Arabidopsis thaliana: one gene and its partners. The protein of the gene in region 3 interacts with the protein of the main gene of each other region in a pairwise test. Each region holds a gene or a part of one and is shown on either strand. Other genes may lie near its edges. The genes, in order: AT1G63820, AT5G56900 and SNI1.

Region 1 (4,620 bases), on a different chromosome or scaffold from region 3:
TATCAAGAACATCACACTCATCGGTAAATAATGTGATCTCCTAAGTCAAATAAGTTGAGCAACGGAATTCTAATATAGAGCAGAGGAAACTAGGAAAGATGACGGAATCACATTATATAAGATTTGAACAGATGTCCCAGAAAGACACAGTGACACAACTACGAGAAAAAGAAAATATCCAAATCATAAACTGTTTCATGTTCCACTTTCCATTTCAATAAGTTTACACAAACAAAACGAGTGTCATTCACTGATGTTAAAACTAATGTTACATTCACCAAAAAAATCAGAAATAATCGAAGTCTCACCTCAGTGGCAAGGCAAAGTTGAGGACATTTGCTTTCTCCACACCTTCCACTACAGGGCATATATCCAGCACAGCAAGTATACCTGTGACGCGCAATATCTTAGCAAAGAAAAAAATCAGACTAATATTCTCAAAATAGTTTAGAAATTACATACCTTGACATGTCATTGTAAAGTGCTCTTCTCCGAAGCATGTATGACACACAAGGTCCACTACATTCAAAATGTATAACAAATCAAATATGTAACCAAAACCATGAATACAGACTCAAAATTGAATCAAGCAAAAATAAGCCTAAAAACAATCTCAGATACAACGAAACCCTAAAAGCAAATAGATCAACAACAACTTACCACAGACACGAGATGCAGCAATCTGCAAAAAGTAAGTTCATAATTCCCGAAAAAAACAAAAATCAGTTCTTCAATAGAAAAAACAATGAAGTTAAGAGACATAAAAACAAAAACAAAAGAGACTGAGATTTACAGGGAGTGTCGGCGGTGACGGTGCCCATGAGATCGGAGTGCCATAAATTCCGGTAATCTTGCCTAAGTTTCATCTTATCCAACTTATCTTGCGACGCCGCCATTGCTTTGGAAACTCAAAAAAGAAGAAGTTCAGATTCGAAAAACCCTAAATCAGTGACTATACAGAGCAAAAGCAATAAATCAAAATCGGTTACAAAATCTATAAGAACCTGATGATCTGCTTCACGCGTAAACCTTTAATTGATGAAAGCAGAAACTTCTCGTCACCCTCACTTCAACGAAGATATTTTTTTTTATCAAATCAGTTTCTTAGAAAAAATGAGAAGTTTGACTATTATTTAGGACCAGTTTGACCCACAACTTTTTCTTTAATTGTCGGGACCAACAAATTTAATATCCTCGGGTTCTGATTGGTTAAAATATGACCTTGGGGAATGCCGGAATTATATAATAAATTTTAAATTTATATAATTAGTAAGATCAAAAATAAAAATCACATTAATGCACAAATAAAAAGATTTTCAAAATGTTGAACGCATTAATCAAATGAGGGTTTGGTAACAATTTCGATGGTTTCTAGAAAATAACTATTCCTCTACGGATTTAATGAGAGTTTGAAGTCGAAGAAAGAGTTTTTCTATCTCTGCATTCTAAATTTTTTGCAAATGTTGGTAATATTACAAAATATTTTGCCGACAAAAAAAAAAAATTACAAAATAAGTTTTTACCGTCACCAATTACCGCATGTAAATTTTACTTTTTCAAAGTCAGATCCGTTACATTGACACCAAATTTCAATTTCTCCTTTTTCAAACAAAAGTCCACTGTCGTCAATGGCTCTACGAATCACACGCTAAATTCGATTTGTTTCTATTTCAATAGCAAATGAGTATAAAAGGTTTGTCAATTCTTACCTTTAGCTTATGTCATGCAAAATACCCTAGTGGGTTTAGACTTTAAGATATAAAAACACCAGAGAGAAAATTACTACAATAAATTATTTACAAACATAGACAAAAATGTGTAAATTAAATGTATATGGAGAAATTCATAACATAAATAAAATACGAGGGTACATTTGTTAAACCCACTAATTGTCTGCTATATAAACATAGCCCACCAGACCAAATAAACTGGACCTGTCATGCCTTGGTTCTGAAACAAGAACTGTGAAGAAAAAGAGAGAAACAAAAAAAAAAATCACACTTTTTTGGGTAAAAGGTCCAAATTTACATTAAGAAAAAACAGTTTTCTTTTTGCCAATTTTGGATTCTGGTGGTTTTCAAAAAAACAAAGATCACGAGTGTCACTTGTGTTTTCTCTGTAACCGTTTCATTTGCTCAATTCAATTGCAGAGACAGTAAAAAAAGACAGAACATAACCCCAAAAGATTCACTTGTTTATCTCTCTTCTTCTTCATTGAGAATCTTGAGTTTGTGTTACCAAAATAAAAAGGGCATGGATTCTGATCTTTATATCTTTGATGGGTCTTCATCTTCTTCCTCAATCTGCCACAGTACTGATCCTGATATGTTTTCCTCCGACACAACAACAACAACAGATCTCTACTGCAACAATCCTTATCTCAATCCTTCAATGGATGATCATCAATCTCTTAGTTTCTTTGAAAGTTTTACTCCGACGACTCATCATATCCTCTCTTCTTCTCCTCCAATCTCTCAGCTCCAGACCTTAACTCTCACACACACAAACAGTTTCCCCAACTTCTCCGGTTTCGAAAACTTCGACACTGTCAAAACAGAGCAGCTCTTGTTTAACTCTCCCTTTGATGCTCCATTCATGGAAGATTCCTCGAATTTTCAGAATCAGAATTTGTTAAACTCGCCGGAAGATTCCTTCTTCTCCGATCACATGCGACGAGTTTACAGCACCGGAGATTTGCAGGTACTTTAGCTATAATATCCTCTGTTTTCCTCTGTGATTTCACACAAAAACTAATATTTTGGAATTTTTTTAGAATTTAGGAAGGGATTTTACGGGACAGAGATCATACTCGAGTCCTTTGGCGGCGGAGAGTTCACCAACGACGGTGTTTTCCGGCGATGAACAAAGCTTGAGGGTGGGGCGTTACAGTTCCGAAGAACGTAAAGAGAAGATTTCTAAGTATAGAGCTAAACGAACACAGAGAAACTTCACCAAAACCATTAAGGTAATAATAAGTTAAATAACTACTATTTAATAACTAGTTTTAACTATTAGCAATATAAAATTCTAAATGAATTTAATTTCGGTTTAACAAGTTTATTTTTTTCTCAATCAAACGAAAAAAATATCTAATTTTCTCTATATTAATTGGTCAAAATAACAATTAAACCAGAAATAGAACTGAATTACATGTTCTTTTAAAGAAACTGGAATATAAATCAAACTATTTCAGAGACTTTGGAAATTAACTTGAATTTTTGCTTGGTTATTATTCCCCGTTGTATAAAAGAAAAAAAGAACAAAACTCAAATTATATGCACATATTCAATTAATTAAATAATTGTTTTACAATTTTATACAAATTACAACTTTACATTTGTAATTTTGGTTTGCACCGTTATAATTTTCTTATATATTAAATGCAAAAATTGAAGTATGCATGCCGGAAAACGTTGGCGGACAACAGACCAAGAGTACGTGGCAGATTTGCAAGAAACGACGAAGTGTTTGAGAACCCCAAGATTGCTTCTTCTTTCACTAGACAAGAAAACGACGACGACCTTTGGGTAAGTAAAATTCAAGTTGATTCCTAAATTACAAACCTTACTTTTTCATCTTTTTATACAAGTATAATAAATTGTATTTAAATTGAGATTAAGTAAATAACTGATAATTATTTACTTATTTTTTAACATTATGGCAGAATTTGGATGGGCTGCATGAGGAAGAAGAAGCTTGTGTGAACTTAGTGGAATGTCAGTCTCAGTCTCAGCCTCAGTTGCAAATGCAATACATGACAAATTCCTACTGGTGAAATTAAAGCCTCTGTTTGAGAAGGAAGAGATGAATATTTTTCCCATTTAGTTTTAATATGCAGACGAATCGAATTAAATCATATATATTAGCAATGTATTGTAGTGTAATGATTGGATTTACCATGAAGTTGAGTAATCATAAGTCGGATCTTTGCACTGTGTACGTTTTAAATGACATAATTAGTCAGAGAGTTTTGGGTTAAGAGTCTATATACTATTCTCTTATACATCATATAAACTATAATCTCGCAATTCATGTCTCGAACATACTACTGCACCAGAATCAAAAAGTAAGGTAAAAATTATGGATATTTATTTCCAAGAGAATAAAATAGTGATTTAATATATAAGGTACCTAGTGACATTGTCATAGTGGTGTTACATGTGAATATGTAAATAAATAAATTGTGCTATGATTAATTATCACAGATGGAAAAATCTTTGACCCTCGAAGGAAGATTCCTTGGTCTGAATTTTAATTTATATGATGAATTTGAATTAGTGGACTACTAAACATTGGTTATATGATCTTAGATTAATATTTTAATAGTCCGAATCATTGATATATAGTAGTCAAAACAACATTTTTCTATCATGGAGGACCAAGATCCTCTCTTGTCAGTTTAGTCTGTTAGTACATATATGAAATTATGAATTATTATCGCTTTAGAGAATCACATTTCAAATTAATATATGTAGAATAGCTTTGTAGTATATCAATATGCTCAAGTCCAATCATCCGTTGGACTTGAAACAAGTTGCACACTAAAAATAGTGGTTTAGTATATATGTGAAACAAAAATTTGCTGATGAAACATTTAAAGTTTAAACGATGATGTAAGTT
Region 2 (5,986 bases), on a different chromosome or scaffold from region 3:
CCAATTTTAATTAATAATATTCAGATTTTCCAAAATAAGGTAAACAACAATAAATGGGAAAATTAATCTAGAAAAGATGCAAATTAGCTTAAATTACTAGAAAATTAGAGGGTAGTTGATGCATTTATAGAGACCTAAATTTTTTGGGACCATCAAAATTCACTTTCACATTAAAGGAAATGAGAAGGTAAAGAGCCATGTGTAGAGGCATAGACAGAATCTATAAACCCTTGTTGATGATGAAGTTTTCTTTTGTTTCCTTTACTCTTTTGCTAAAGCTGCAACAACAACAGCGGGAGCAGCAAAAGAAAGCTTAAGTTAACCCTTAAAGATGAAGAGATCAATGTTTCTCTTCTCTTTTACCATGTGATAAAAACCACATTCTCAAGGTACATCTTTTAAATGCTAGAGAGTTGAATCTGATTCACTAAAACCAGCTTTAATCTCACTGTTATGACAAAAGTGGATTTCATTCAGTGATCAAAGATTGATGCTGAAACCCACATTGATCAGATACTATCTGTTTTTTTATTTGATTATTAACCATTCTAGAATTAAAGTATGTCTTGGCTAGAAATGATTGCGATTAATTACTGTAAAGGAAAAAAAAATGTACATTATTACCAACCAACAAGAAGTCAGTAGTTTAGGTGAAAACAGGTGAAGCAAATTCTACCATGACTGTTGTGTGTTTCTGTGATGATCACTCTCTTACATCTCAACAAACAATAATATATCAAAAAAAATGTTTAATAGAAGAACAAGATAGGTAACAACTAACCAGTAAAATAGTAAGGAAACTGATGGAAGACTGTTAGCTTTTAACTGACCAAACAAAGAACACTGTTGACAAACCTATTTCTAAACGACGATGCTTCGCATGATTCAGCTTCTGACCTAGAGAAAATATTAAGTCCAAAGGTGGTTAGAAGAAAACATAAACGTCAAAAGATAATAGAAATTTGGTATTAAACTGGAACAGAAACACAATACCTGAGTGCACTGGAGACTGAGTTTAGCATGATTGATGCCCACAAGATAGCATCTAATCGTATCTTTTGTTCAGTAAGGTTATTGGCAAGGGTCAAATTCTTGAAATTGTTTCTTGAAATCTTCAGCCAGCTTTGCCTCCTCTTCTTGGCTAATTTTACAGTTTCTCCAATCGGCCCTATCTGGGATCTTTAGCAACCCTGCTAGAACCTGTAAAATCCAATGTCATTTCTATAGCAACAAAACGCCTTAAGGATCTCAAAATATTGTTAAGGTGGATCAGAAGTTATCTATCTATTCGAATCCAAAATGTCATATATTATGATCTTAGCATGAAAGTTCTTTTGTGAATGGTCACTCTGTATTAAACAGAACATAATGTTTGACTCTTCATGCGTATGAATATTGTGTTATCAATGGCATCTTTCTTTAGTAGTATAATAGCAAAGTCGCAATCCATTCATGAATTGTCTTACCTCCCGTCCAAACTGCGCAGGGAATACTTCGTTTTCTTCCAAGGTGTGTGATAGCACAGTTCCATCAGGAAGTTCCACATAGAAGAGACCCAATGCCGCATTATATTCCTTCTGCAGATATTTTCTGCCATCAGTACTATCATTAACTGCAACAAAGACAACATCACTGAGTTATAAGATAGGGTCCATTGATTCTATAACATTGAGAAGAAAAACAGTAAGAAAATCAGCTTACACTTTTTAGTCACAAGCTTAAAGCCCAGTTTTTCAGCCGCCAGACTAAAGATATTAGGAAGAAGACGAGCTCTGGATGATGGAACAGGAACAACCTACATAAGGTAGACTACTGTAAGTAACTTTTAAATTCAAAAAGATCCACCTGATTTGCAATAGGAACTTTTCTTACTTGGAGGTTAGCATGAGAAACACGTTTAGAGACCAATTCAAAGAAAACTGCATCATTTCCTTGGCTCTTATAACAATTTCTCAGACCATTTTGGTATCTACTGAGCTCTGATTCAACCTCAGGGGATAAAACCAGAGTATTGGGCAAATGTTCGATTGGGATTATCAATATGTGATCTTCGACTAGCGAACCTTTGGGTAGAGCACAATAAAAACTTTCCCCTACACTGACGATTAAATGTGACTCCACACTCGGGCTTGATAGACAAAACCAGCATTCTTTTGACCTGAGAAAAGCAATTTTGATTTGACAATTACTGTCTCCACCCCGAGTCCAAATGGCATATATGTTCTCAGAAGCTAGATTAGAATATACCTGTTAGCATTCTCAGATCTGGGCTTCCTTTGTATGCTACTTTCATCTTGAAACTCATGCTTGTAGCTGCACTCTGGGCCTTTTTCACACTTACCTTTGATGATAAGATCAAGACAAACACCTCTACGACACTGTTCTCTTGCTTCAGCGTTGTGTTGGAAATGGCAATCTTCACCACGAGGACAGGAACCTGAGCAGACAAATTTGAAACAGAGCTTTTCCCCTTGAGATCCACTCTTTTGCCGCTTTGGGACATCATACCTCCAATACTGTGAATCAGAGTCACTATCGTTTGGCCTCTTCTTCGATTCAGCAGCTCCATCTTGTAAATTATAAGGCCATAGCGTAGTTTTTGGAGGCTTTGCACTAAGCTCTGCTGGTGACATGGTAGATGTTGGTGTAGGAGAAAGCGCATGAAGAAATTTCTAAAAAGTGGAAAAAAGAAGTAAAATTGAAGAATATATGAAAACTGCATGAAATCATCAGAAAACGCAAAAAAAAAAAAAAAAACAGTCTGATGTGCTACATGTGTTTGCATAGATTCTGCATCCAAAGTATATCCATCTTAGGAGGAGCCATACATACAGTTAAGAGTACCACTCAGGAGGCAAGTGATCAAACAGAGAGGTACCAAAATCTTCAGAAAAAATTAATAAGATACCAAGCTCGAGTTGAAAGGAACTATAGAACACACCTGTTTGTTTTTATTTCCAACTTGAGCAAGACCAATAAAGCGAGTTACATGAGTAGATTCAGCGTTGAGGTAAGGTTCACGGGCATAAAATACCCCCATAGAACCTGCAATGTGATAGCTACCACAAAAGGAAACAGAAACCGCAAATTAAGTTCATAACTAAGTGATCAAAATTCCCCAGTAACAACAATATTAGAATCGAAAAAGCACTTACCGAGGTTTAACTTCCATTACCAACTCAGAAACAGTGGAATCACTACAAGAGGAATCAGAAATTCCAACAGGAATATCAGAAACCGCAGCTCTGTTTGTGACTCCCGCAGGCCATTCATTAGTAATACACTAATTAAGGACGACAAGTAGAACAATAGAGAAATGTATCCACAGTTCTAATTTCATCAACTAATACGAAAAAGGATATGTTAAGAACAAATCAACTCCTCCAGGTTCCTCAGCAAGTGCACGAAGAGCATCAACATCATCTTGACTATATTTCCCAAATTGACTCTCAGATGATTGTCTACCAGATAAGTAAGCAACAGACAAACCTAAACAAAACAACTTATCAAAAAAAACTGATAAAGATTGATACTTTTATGATATTAGCAAAACCCTTACCATGGAGACTGAACTTCCCACTTCCTCTTAACCAAAACAAATTGTGGCAAACTTCGAGTCCATCCATCTTAAACCCTTGATTCTCAGCTTTCTTCGAAGTCGTCGATAAGATTTTGGGTGCGACGACACCATAGTCTCCGGTGAAGTAAGTAGGAATCGGAACTTGAGCTCGACCTTCGACGTAATCCAAAAACTCATCTAGAATTTCTGGAGAATCGGGAAAAAACTGTCCGACGCAAATCAGAGCATCAAAGGGACCAGCAGATTTGCTAACCTGCAAAAATTGGAGTTCGATTTAAAAATTGGAGATACAGAATCAGGTGAAATCGGAGAGCAGAAGGAGAAAGATAGTGATAGAGACCGATTGGACACGCTTGAAGAGCTGATTGAGACGTCCAAGAGGATCTCCACAGAGTAAAATTCTGGGCGCCATGACAGTGATGACACTGGACGGAGGAGAAGGAGGAGGAAAGCAACGACAATGACGGAGACGACTATTTGAGACTTTTCTTTCACTCTTAATGGGCTTCTAATGAGCCCAGTTAAGTGGGCTTCTCATGAGCCATTCATCTAATATTTGAGCCTTCTCTTTCACTACTAAATGGGCTTCTCATGAGCTTTTTTTTTCTCAAATCATCATCATCATTCATCCATCTATATTTCAAAAAAGAAAACAAACACGATAATTGTCTTCTATTACCTCTCTCTCATTCACCTCTCGCTAAGTGTGCGTTAGCCGTTAGGGTTCCGATCTAATCATGGCGGACTCTGTTTTGAAGGAGGTTAACTGTGGCCGGCCTGAAAAGATCCCGAAGTTGGACAAAGCTTGCGAAGGATCGAAATCGTCCTGGAAACATCTCAAGCTAGGAAACGTGGAAGATGATGAGTATCTTCGACAGTATTGTTTGTTTCACTACGAATTCCATAAATCCGAGGTACTATTCAACTTTAATTTTTAAGCTTCCTTTCCTTCAAAATTAGGGTTAATTCGAAAATCGGAATCTGATAAGAAGTCTTTTTTGGCTTAATTAGGGTTTCACGGTTGATTGGGAGAAATATGACTACATGTTCCATATAAGGCCGTTGGAAAATTCACCACCTATCAGCGATATACGAACCAATGCTGATGTGATCCGTGATGTGACACTCTTTGCCATTGAGAAACACAATGAAGCTCATGGATCTAAACTTGTGTTTGTCGAGCATGTCTCAGCTAATTTCAAATTTGCCAATGGTCTCCTCTGCTGGTTAACATTCTGGGCTACCGATATGGCCTCATCCGCTCCTACATCGCAGATCTATCAAGTCGAACTTTGGCGTCGCGGAAAACAGTTTGAAATTCCCATCTTCAGGGTCAAGCCTAAGGACGAAGGTGACAAATTTCGTTTTAACTCTATTGGTTTCTTCTTTTTATTCTTTGGCTGCTACCTATTCTGATGTTTAACTCGTGTGTGTTTATGCGATGCAGAGATGGATGATGTTGAAGTGAAACCACCCTCTCCCATGCCTTATGATGACTATGGTACTGCTACTTTCTCTTGGTTTACCTTTTGTGACCTTAGATTAGTTTACTAGGTGTTTTACTTTTCTGATCAAACTAAACCACCTTTACCTTTGCTTTTCTAATCAATGCTAGTATTCATTAATTGTGTTTTGTTGTCATGTAGATAAACCACCGGTTGTCTTTGTTCGAGCTGCTCCTGAAGATGGTGTCCCTTTCGTCTTTGATCGAACTGGAGCTCTTTATGATCTCTATCGGTCTGGTTTGTAAGGAAAAAGTATATATACCATTCCTTTGGTGACAAAGAGATATGATGTTAGTCACTGACTGAAAAATCAAATTAGGCTTGTATTAATATTATACCCTCTGAATTTTCAACTTCTTCTATCTCTCTAAATGTACTAGCTTCTCTTCTAGAGATCTATGAACACAAATAGAATTGATATTCAAAAATCCATTTGTTTGAGAAAAGAATGTAACTTTAATTTACCTTTTTTGGTGGTGGTGGATCTTCATAAATTTGTTTTCTTTTTCTTCTATCCATATCTTAAAAGGAAAAAAACAATGAGTTCATGAAAACCAACTTAGTGAAACAAAAATAAAATTCACCAATTTTAATATAGACATATAAGCTTTCTGCATTTTGAAGAGGTTATCAAAAATATATCTAAAGAGAAAAAAATCTCACGAGGGAAGAAATCTCACCCAAAAATTTAGCTTATTTCCGTTTTCCTTTCTTGATGTCACATTCAGCCTGATACAAAGAGGAAAATGAGCTTGTAGCGGCCCACTAGACTCGTAGCAGACTTTTTGCGTTTTTACTTTGACGGTGTATTTTTTCTTTATTTATATGTTAGACCATCTTCATTGGGGGTATCTCATAGGAGTTTCTCACAATTAAAAATATAAAAATAATAAAAATGAAG
Region 3 (5,135 bases):
GATGCATCTCTTTATTATTCATATACCATTTGATTAGAGAAAGGTTTAGCTTGTGGTTTATGTACTGAGGTTTGTTTTCTTTGCTTGCCCTGGTCTTTGGATCATGTGTGTTAATACAGTTAGTCAATTCACATTATACGGATTCTTGAAAGGTAACAAACCAGATTTTCATGTCGCAATGCCACCTGATAAAGCGAAACCTTTTTACGCCTCTTTAGTTGAGAAATTCCAGAAAGCATATAATCCTGATGCTGTCAAAGGTCAAAACACACTCTCATTGATCTTTTCTTAATCAAAACTTCTCATTTTCTCTAGTCTTCTTGACTAAATTGGTTCTCTTTTTTAAAATACAGATGGTGTGTTTGGAGCTATGATGCAGGTAAGGAGATAACTCCTTTCAATAGCAAGGTTTGATTAGTATCTTGTGTGATTAAAACATGTTCTCTAATCATATTCAAAGGTCAATCTTGTAAACGATGGTCCGGTCACGATGCAGCTCGACTCACCTCAATCCACCAAGTAAGCCAAGATTGTTTTGCATAAACTTATCAGGCATGGATTTGTTACTAAAGCAAGTCTTGATATGTTCCATAAGTGAGAAAAAGGCATCAACAGAATCATAAGATCACTCATTTTGTATTGGCAAAACTATAGAATATATAAATTCATAATTCATTGATCTGTAACTCTTAATTCCTACATTACATTGTAACTTCTTTGCTTCTAATCCAATTGAAGTCTCTAGATTTGTTAAAATCTTGATTCCTAGATGCTTTAAGCTTTTGCCTTGAGTACCATTCCTGCAGTAAACAACACTTCTTTCCCAAACGGTAGAATCTCGATTTTCCTATAACAACCATTAAACTTTCGGTTGGACAAAGGAAAGCGGTATAGTATCTCGATTGCACAAAGAGAAAAAAAACTGAGAGTGAAAGAAACTGCAGCTTACTGATCTACTCGCTTTAGACTAGTAAATGCAGAGATGATACTACTGCATATCTCTGAAATAGAGTCTCCTTCGTGAGGGTCAGAGAATGTAAGCCGAGCCTGACGAATAGTTAAATACATTAGGAGGCCAAAAAAAGCTCTGAGAACGTGAAAGAAGAAACAAAGGTATTATTGTGTTACCAGAAAGGCATGGCCGATGAGGATCTGAACAATGTCAGGTCCTATCTTTTTAGTGATGTTCTTTGGATTTGTGCCATTTGAAAACGTCTTCAAGATCCCATTTAGTGTTTTCGAATCCTCTGCTTGAGGAACAGTTGTTCTTCGGGTACGTACAACAGGCTACAACATGAAAGAAATTTGGTCAGAGAGAGAAATCAGAGAAATAACTATATATTGTACATCATTTGTTGGAGAAGATAATCAGAGAGCGAGAGATCAGAGAATTAACAACAAACCTTAGGAATGTATTTAGTAAGGTATTGGAGAACAATCTCTAGCTTCCATTTAGGATCATCGAAAACCTGATTAAGAAATTTTCACTCAAGAACCACAGAGAGAAGAATTTTACAGACCACAGTGAGTTTCAGAAGTGGTTTGTCTCTTACCTGAAGAAATTTTGACAGCAAGTATCCATCATAAGTCAGCTCGTCGAGAATGATCTCCATTGCAGGGGTCCTGCATCAAATTGGATCACAAACATGGAGAAAACACAATTCAAAAGTGAGGCAGAAACTCATTACCTTACGCCATCTCCTCTAGAGGTAATCCCTTCTAAGTCAGCTTTCTTCTTTGATGTATCAAGCTCCATGATCTAAACAAGGAACAGAAACGTAAGAGCAAAAAGCTCCGAAAATTGAAACACTAATACTCTGGTAACCGAAAACTTACCATTACTAGAAGTTCTTTCATAGCAGTAAGCATGTCCTTGTGCAATTCTACCAAACTGATAGACTTTTCATCAGCATCAATGGATGCACACATTGTTGATAGATAATCTTTCATTAGAAGTTTGAAATTCACTTTTCTTGAAGCCTACAAGCAGAACCATAACATTAAAAATCACAAATAAATTACTATACTAGTTTCTGAGCCATTGATTGTGGGATGTACCAGAAGTAGATTCAGAAAAGATTCCTTTAAGAGACTCCAGTTCATAGTTTCTGGAGCACAAAAGGACACAAAAAGTTCTAAGAATTTCCCCAAACTTAACAAGATAAAGAGAAATCTTAAAACTATGAAGACATAATCTATACCTTCATACACTTGATTTCGGGGTGTGAAATCTAGCTTAAGAACATGAGCAAGATACTTGAACAGAAACATATTTCCAAGGATCTGCAGAAATCCAAACAAAAGAATCAAATAACAACAAGTTGTGTGAAAGTCTACCAATTTTTAAAGCTTATCTGCAACATAACAAATAAATCAACCTTTAAATCTGATTCCTCAGACTCATTAACTCTTTTGTTCATGTTCTGAATCAGCTGTTGCAAAACTGAAATCATAAAACAAACAAAAAATCATATTTAGCAAGAACCAACAAAAAGCTAACTCAAAAAGAGAAGACAAACGTCCTTACATAAGCTTCTCACTGATAAATCCTTTTCATCAGAATCAACATCAGACCCGAAATTAAACGGTGACCAAGCCTGCAAAACAAAACCATAAACAAACACATGAAATCAACCATCCCCACCATAACAAAGAATGAACAAAAACACATCAAAACTTTTGTAACAAGTACCTCGTCAACGATGTCCAACTGATCAGCTGAATCAGATACATAAACCCAAGGAAACCGCTGAAACAAAACATAATCATAATAAGCAAAACACTGAAACCTCATAAAAGTTATTGGACAAATTACACTACCAAAATCTTGCAACAAGTACCTGATGTAATTGAGTCAAAAGCTGGAAACTTGCTGTGATAAGTTCCAATGTTTTACCAAATCTCAATATCCTGAAAATCGCTTGGTACATTTTGCTTCAAAATTAAACAAAACCCAAATCAAAATCAGTACTCTTTTAGAGGTAAAAACTTCAAATTTCTTAGAAAAACAGAGTTTTTTATTTTTTACTTGGTTGGAGGAATTCCATTTTCGGGTACAAGTGAAGCAGCACGAACAGCTTCCAGATACTGCAAACCTAAGGTTTTTCATTCAAAGGATCAATACAATTAACAAAAACAAAGACGAAGATTGAAAATTGAGGAAACGTACGATCTTCGTTAGCGTCGCGACTGTCTTTAGCTCCGGTGGAATCAATCATAGCCAAGGTGTTAGCTTCCAAGCTACCGCCATAGCCACTCATCACTCTGCTTGTATTGTTATTACCCTTCGTCTCTTTCGACATCTTCTCTTTCACAATTTCACTAATTTCTTCTCAGCAGCACCAAAGAAGAAAACGAGAAGGAGAGATTGAAATCTTAATCCGAAATTAGAACGGAGAAAGATTTGTAGAAACCCTAATTCTCGACAGAAGTCAATTTTCCCGCCATAAGAGAATTGTTAGCAAAAAATAAATCACTTACTGGAATTTGAACCCGGCCCTCGAAGGTTAGAAGTTTGAACTTAGAACCAATAGAGACAATATTAGTTGGTTATAATAATTCATAAAAATATATATAATTTTTTTTTTGTAGTAAGTCTTCTTTTTCTTTAATACCGAGTGGTTCTGAATCAAAACTCAGAATACTTTCAGGCCCGAAATCATAACAGGTAATGTTAGTTCCGTTCCAAGCATCAATTAAAATCTTTTCTATATTGTAGTTTTTTTTTTAATCAATTTTGAAAATGCTTTTTGTGATTTGGATTCAGATTAAGTTTAGACTTGTGATTACAGAATTGGAAATTTTATACACATGACTTGTAGTGTGTTTATGAAGCTCGCTAGACTTATGAAGCTCTCGAGATTGAATACCAAAATTTAACAAATGACTACCTTAAGATAGAACCATTGCAACAATCTTTAATGCTCGAACAAAACACCTTTCTAATCGAAACGCTCTAGCACGCTTGGAGTCTCTCCAACACGAGACTTTCTTGAACTATATATGTGCCAAAGCAAGAAACTCTCGTAGTGGAGAACGAATGAATGAATCTTAAACGATTGATATAAAAATTAGCAGATAGTTTTTTAATATTAGCTGATACGTACTTGAGGTGACTTGAACCTACCATATAAAGTATCTCTAGCTCATTCTCTATAATACATTGAATAGAGATATTAATCTCTTTTTCATTTTTTTTCAATTGTAAGCTATGTTTCAAAGCGTGTGGAATTTATATATTCTATTCACCTCTCATCATTGTTTCAAATCTTTGGACTTACGGAAAATGATCTCATACAAATAATACTTGGATAAAAAGTTAGTGATGACTTAGCCCTTACATGTTTTTTCTTATTTCGTTTCACATTTTGATAGCGTTTAGTTATCATTATATTATATTCTCTAGGCAATATGCGTTAAACTGTGATCGTATGGTAAAATAATAACTTCTAACAAACTTAACTAAACACCGAAGAATTCTTTATCGATGTATGAAAAGCTAAATCAGTATTAAGGTTCATCAATCTAACAGTAGAAACAAGTCATTTAGAAGCTATATTTCTTTTTATAACCAAAAAAATAGTTAAAAAGTTTTTTAAAATGCGACGAGCGTGGAACGAAACATTAAAACAATAAACTTATGTTTGATTTAATAATCACAATTCTCCAAAACGGATTTGTGCCTCTGGTGGGAACACGTCATAGATTCTCATGAAGCGTTAAACTGAAGATTAATATGTTTATTATACAAAAGTGAATTAATACTCTGCATCTAGTCCTTTTCAAGAGTACACAATCTGCACTTTTTTAATGAAAATAGTACACAATCTTTATACTTCAAACTGAGGTAACATTATTAAATTAATTTATTGAAGTTGACTTAAGATGATCTATTCACATAATGGTACGTGTGTGTGTGTATACACAGAAAACCCCTGATTTTATGTGGAACCTAAAACCCTCCATGAAATGCGGTCAGTACCTTAGAACACAAGTTTCACCAACTGTACTTCCCAATTATCCTGCCGCAGATTTCCCATTCAACGTACACACAAAACCCCCAAAGCAACAATCTCTTTAAAATGCCCTAAATCTCACCAACACATACTCCTCTCTGATTCAACAATGGCTTTTGG

Evidence for each region.
Region 1: the proteins of SNI1 (region 3) and AT1G63820 interact in a two-hybrid assay, tested with the Arabidopsis thaliana proteins (one large-scale study listed by BioGRID).
Region 2: the proteins of SNI1 (region 3) and AT5G56900 interact in a two-hybrid assay, tested with the Arabidopsis thaliana proteins (one large-scale study listed by BioGRID).

The regions. Positions count from the first base shown.
Region 1 is NC_003070.9:23,681,684-23,686,303, reverse strand, and holds AT1G63820 (CCT motif family protein), read left to right. Parts: upstream 1-1,930; 5' UTR 1,931-2,253; coding exon 2,254-2,700; intron 2,701-2,773; coding exon 2,774-2,965; intron 2,966-3,395; coding exon 3,396-3,527; intron 3,528-3,664; coding exon 3,665-3,775; 3' UTR 3,776-4,026; downstream 4,027-4,620. Other genes in the region: AT1G63830 (PLAC8 family protein), read right to left, coding at 309-390, 463-519, 661-682, 794-896.
Region 2 is NC_003076.8:23,018,679-23,024,664, forward strand, and holds AT5G56900 (CwfJ-like family protein / zinc finger (CCCH-type) family protein), read right to left. Parts: upstream 4,088-5,986; 5' UTR 3,993-4,087; coding exon 3,921-3,992; intron 3,900-3,920; exon of another isoform or gene 3,834-3,899; coding exon 3,560-3,833; intron 3,490-3,559; coding exon 3,363-3,489; exon of another isoform or gene 3,276-3,362; coding exon 3,156-3,275; intron 3,060-3,155; coding exon 2,942-3,059; intron 2,673-2,941; coding exon 2,248-2,672; intron 2,159-2,247; coding exon 1,873-2,158; intron 1,796-1,872; coding exon 1,702-1,795; intron 1,613-1,701; coding exon 1,467-1,612; intron 1,201-1,466; coding exon 1,072-1,200; 3' UTR 994-1,071; intron 898-993; 3' UTR 567-897; downstream 1-566. Other genes in the region: AT5G56910 (Proteinase inhibitor I25, cystatin, conserved region), read left to right, coding at 4,318-4,494, 4,592-4,931, 5,028-5,081, 5,227-5,330.
Region 3 is NC_003075.7:10,191,151-10,196,285, reverse strand, and holds SNI1 (negative regulator of systemic acquired resistance (SNI1)), read right to left. Parts: upstream 3,378-5,135; 5' UTR 3,303-3,377; coding exon 3,170-3,302; intron 3,096-3,169; coding exon 3,029-3,095; intron 2,935-3,028; coding exon 2,841-2,934; intron 2,750-2,840; coding exon 2,693-2,749; intron 2,598-2,692; coding exon 2,528-2,597; intron 2,444-2,527; coding exon 2,379-2,443; intron 2,284-2,378; coding exon 2,202-2,283; intron 2,109-2,201; coding exon 2,059-2,108; intron 1,981-2,058; coding exon 1,837-1,980; intron 1,760-1,836; coding exon 1,689-1,759; intron 1,624-1,688; coding exon 1,554-1,623; intron 1,470-1,553; coding exon 1,404-1,469; intron 1,288-1,403; coding exon 1,129-1,287; intron 1,048-1,128; coding exon 950-1,047; intron 848-949; coding exon 775-847; 3' UTR 624-774; downstream 1-623. Other genes in the region: AT4G18460 (D-Tyr-tRNA(Tyr) deacylase family protein), read left to right, coding at 120-260, 354-379, 461-523; AT4G18450 (Integrase-type DNA-binding superfamily protein), read left to right, coding at 5,125-5,135. UniProt on the Arabidopsis thaliana protein: Component of the SMC5-SMC6 complex, a complex involved in repair of DNA double-strand breaks by homologous recombination.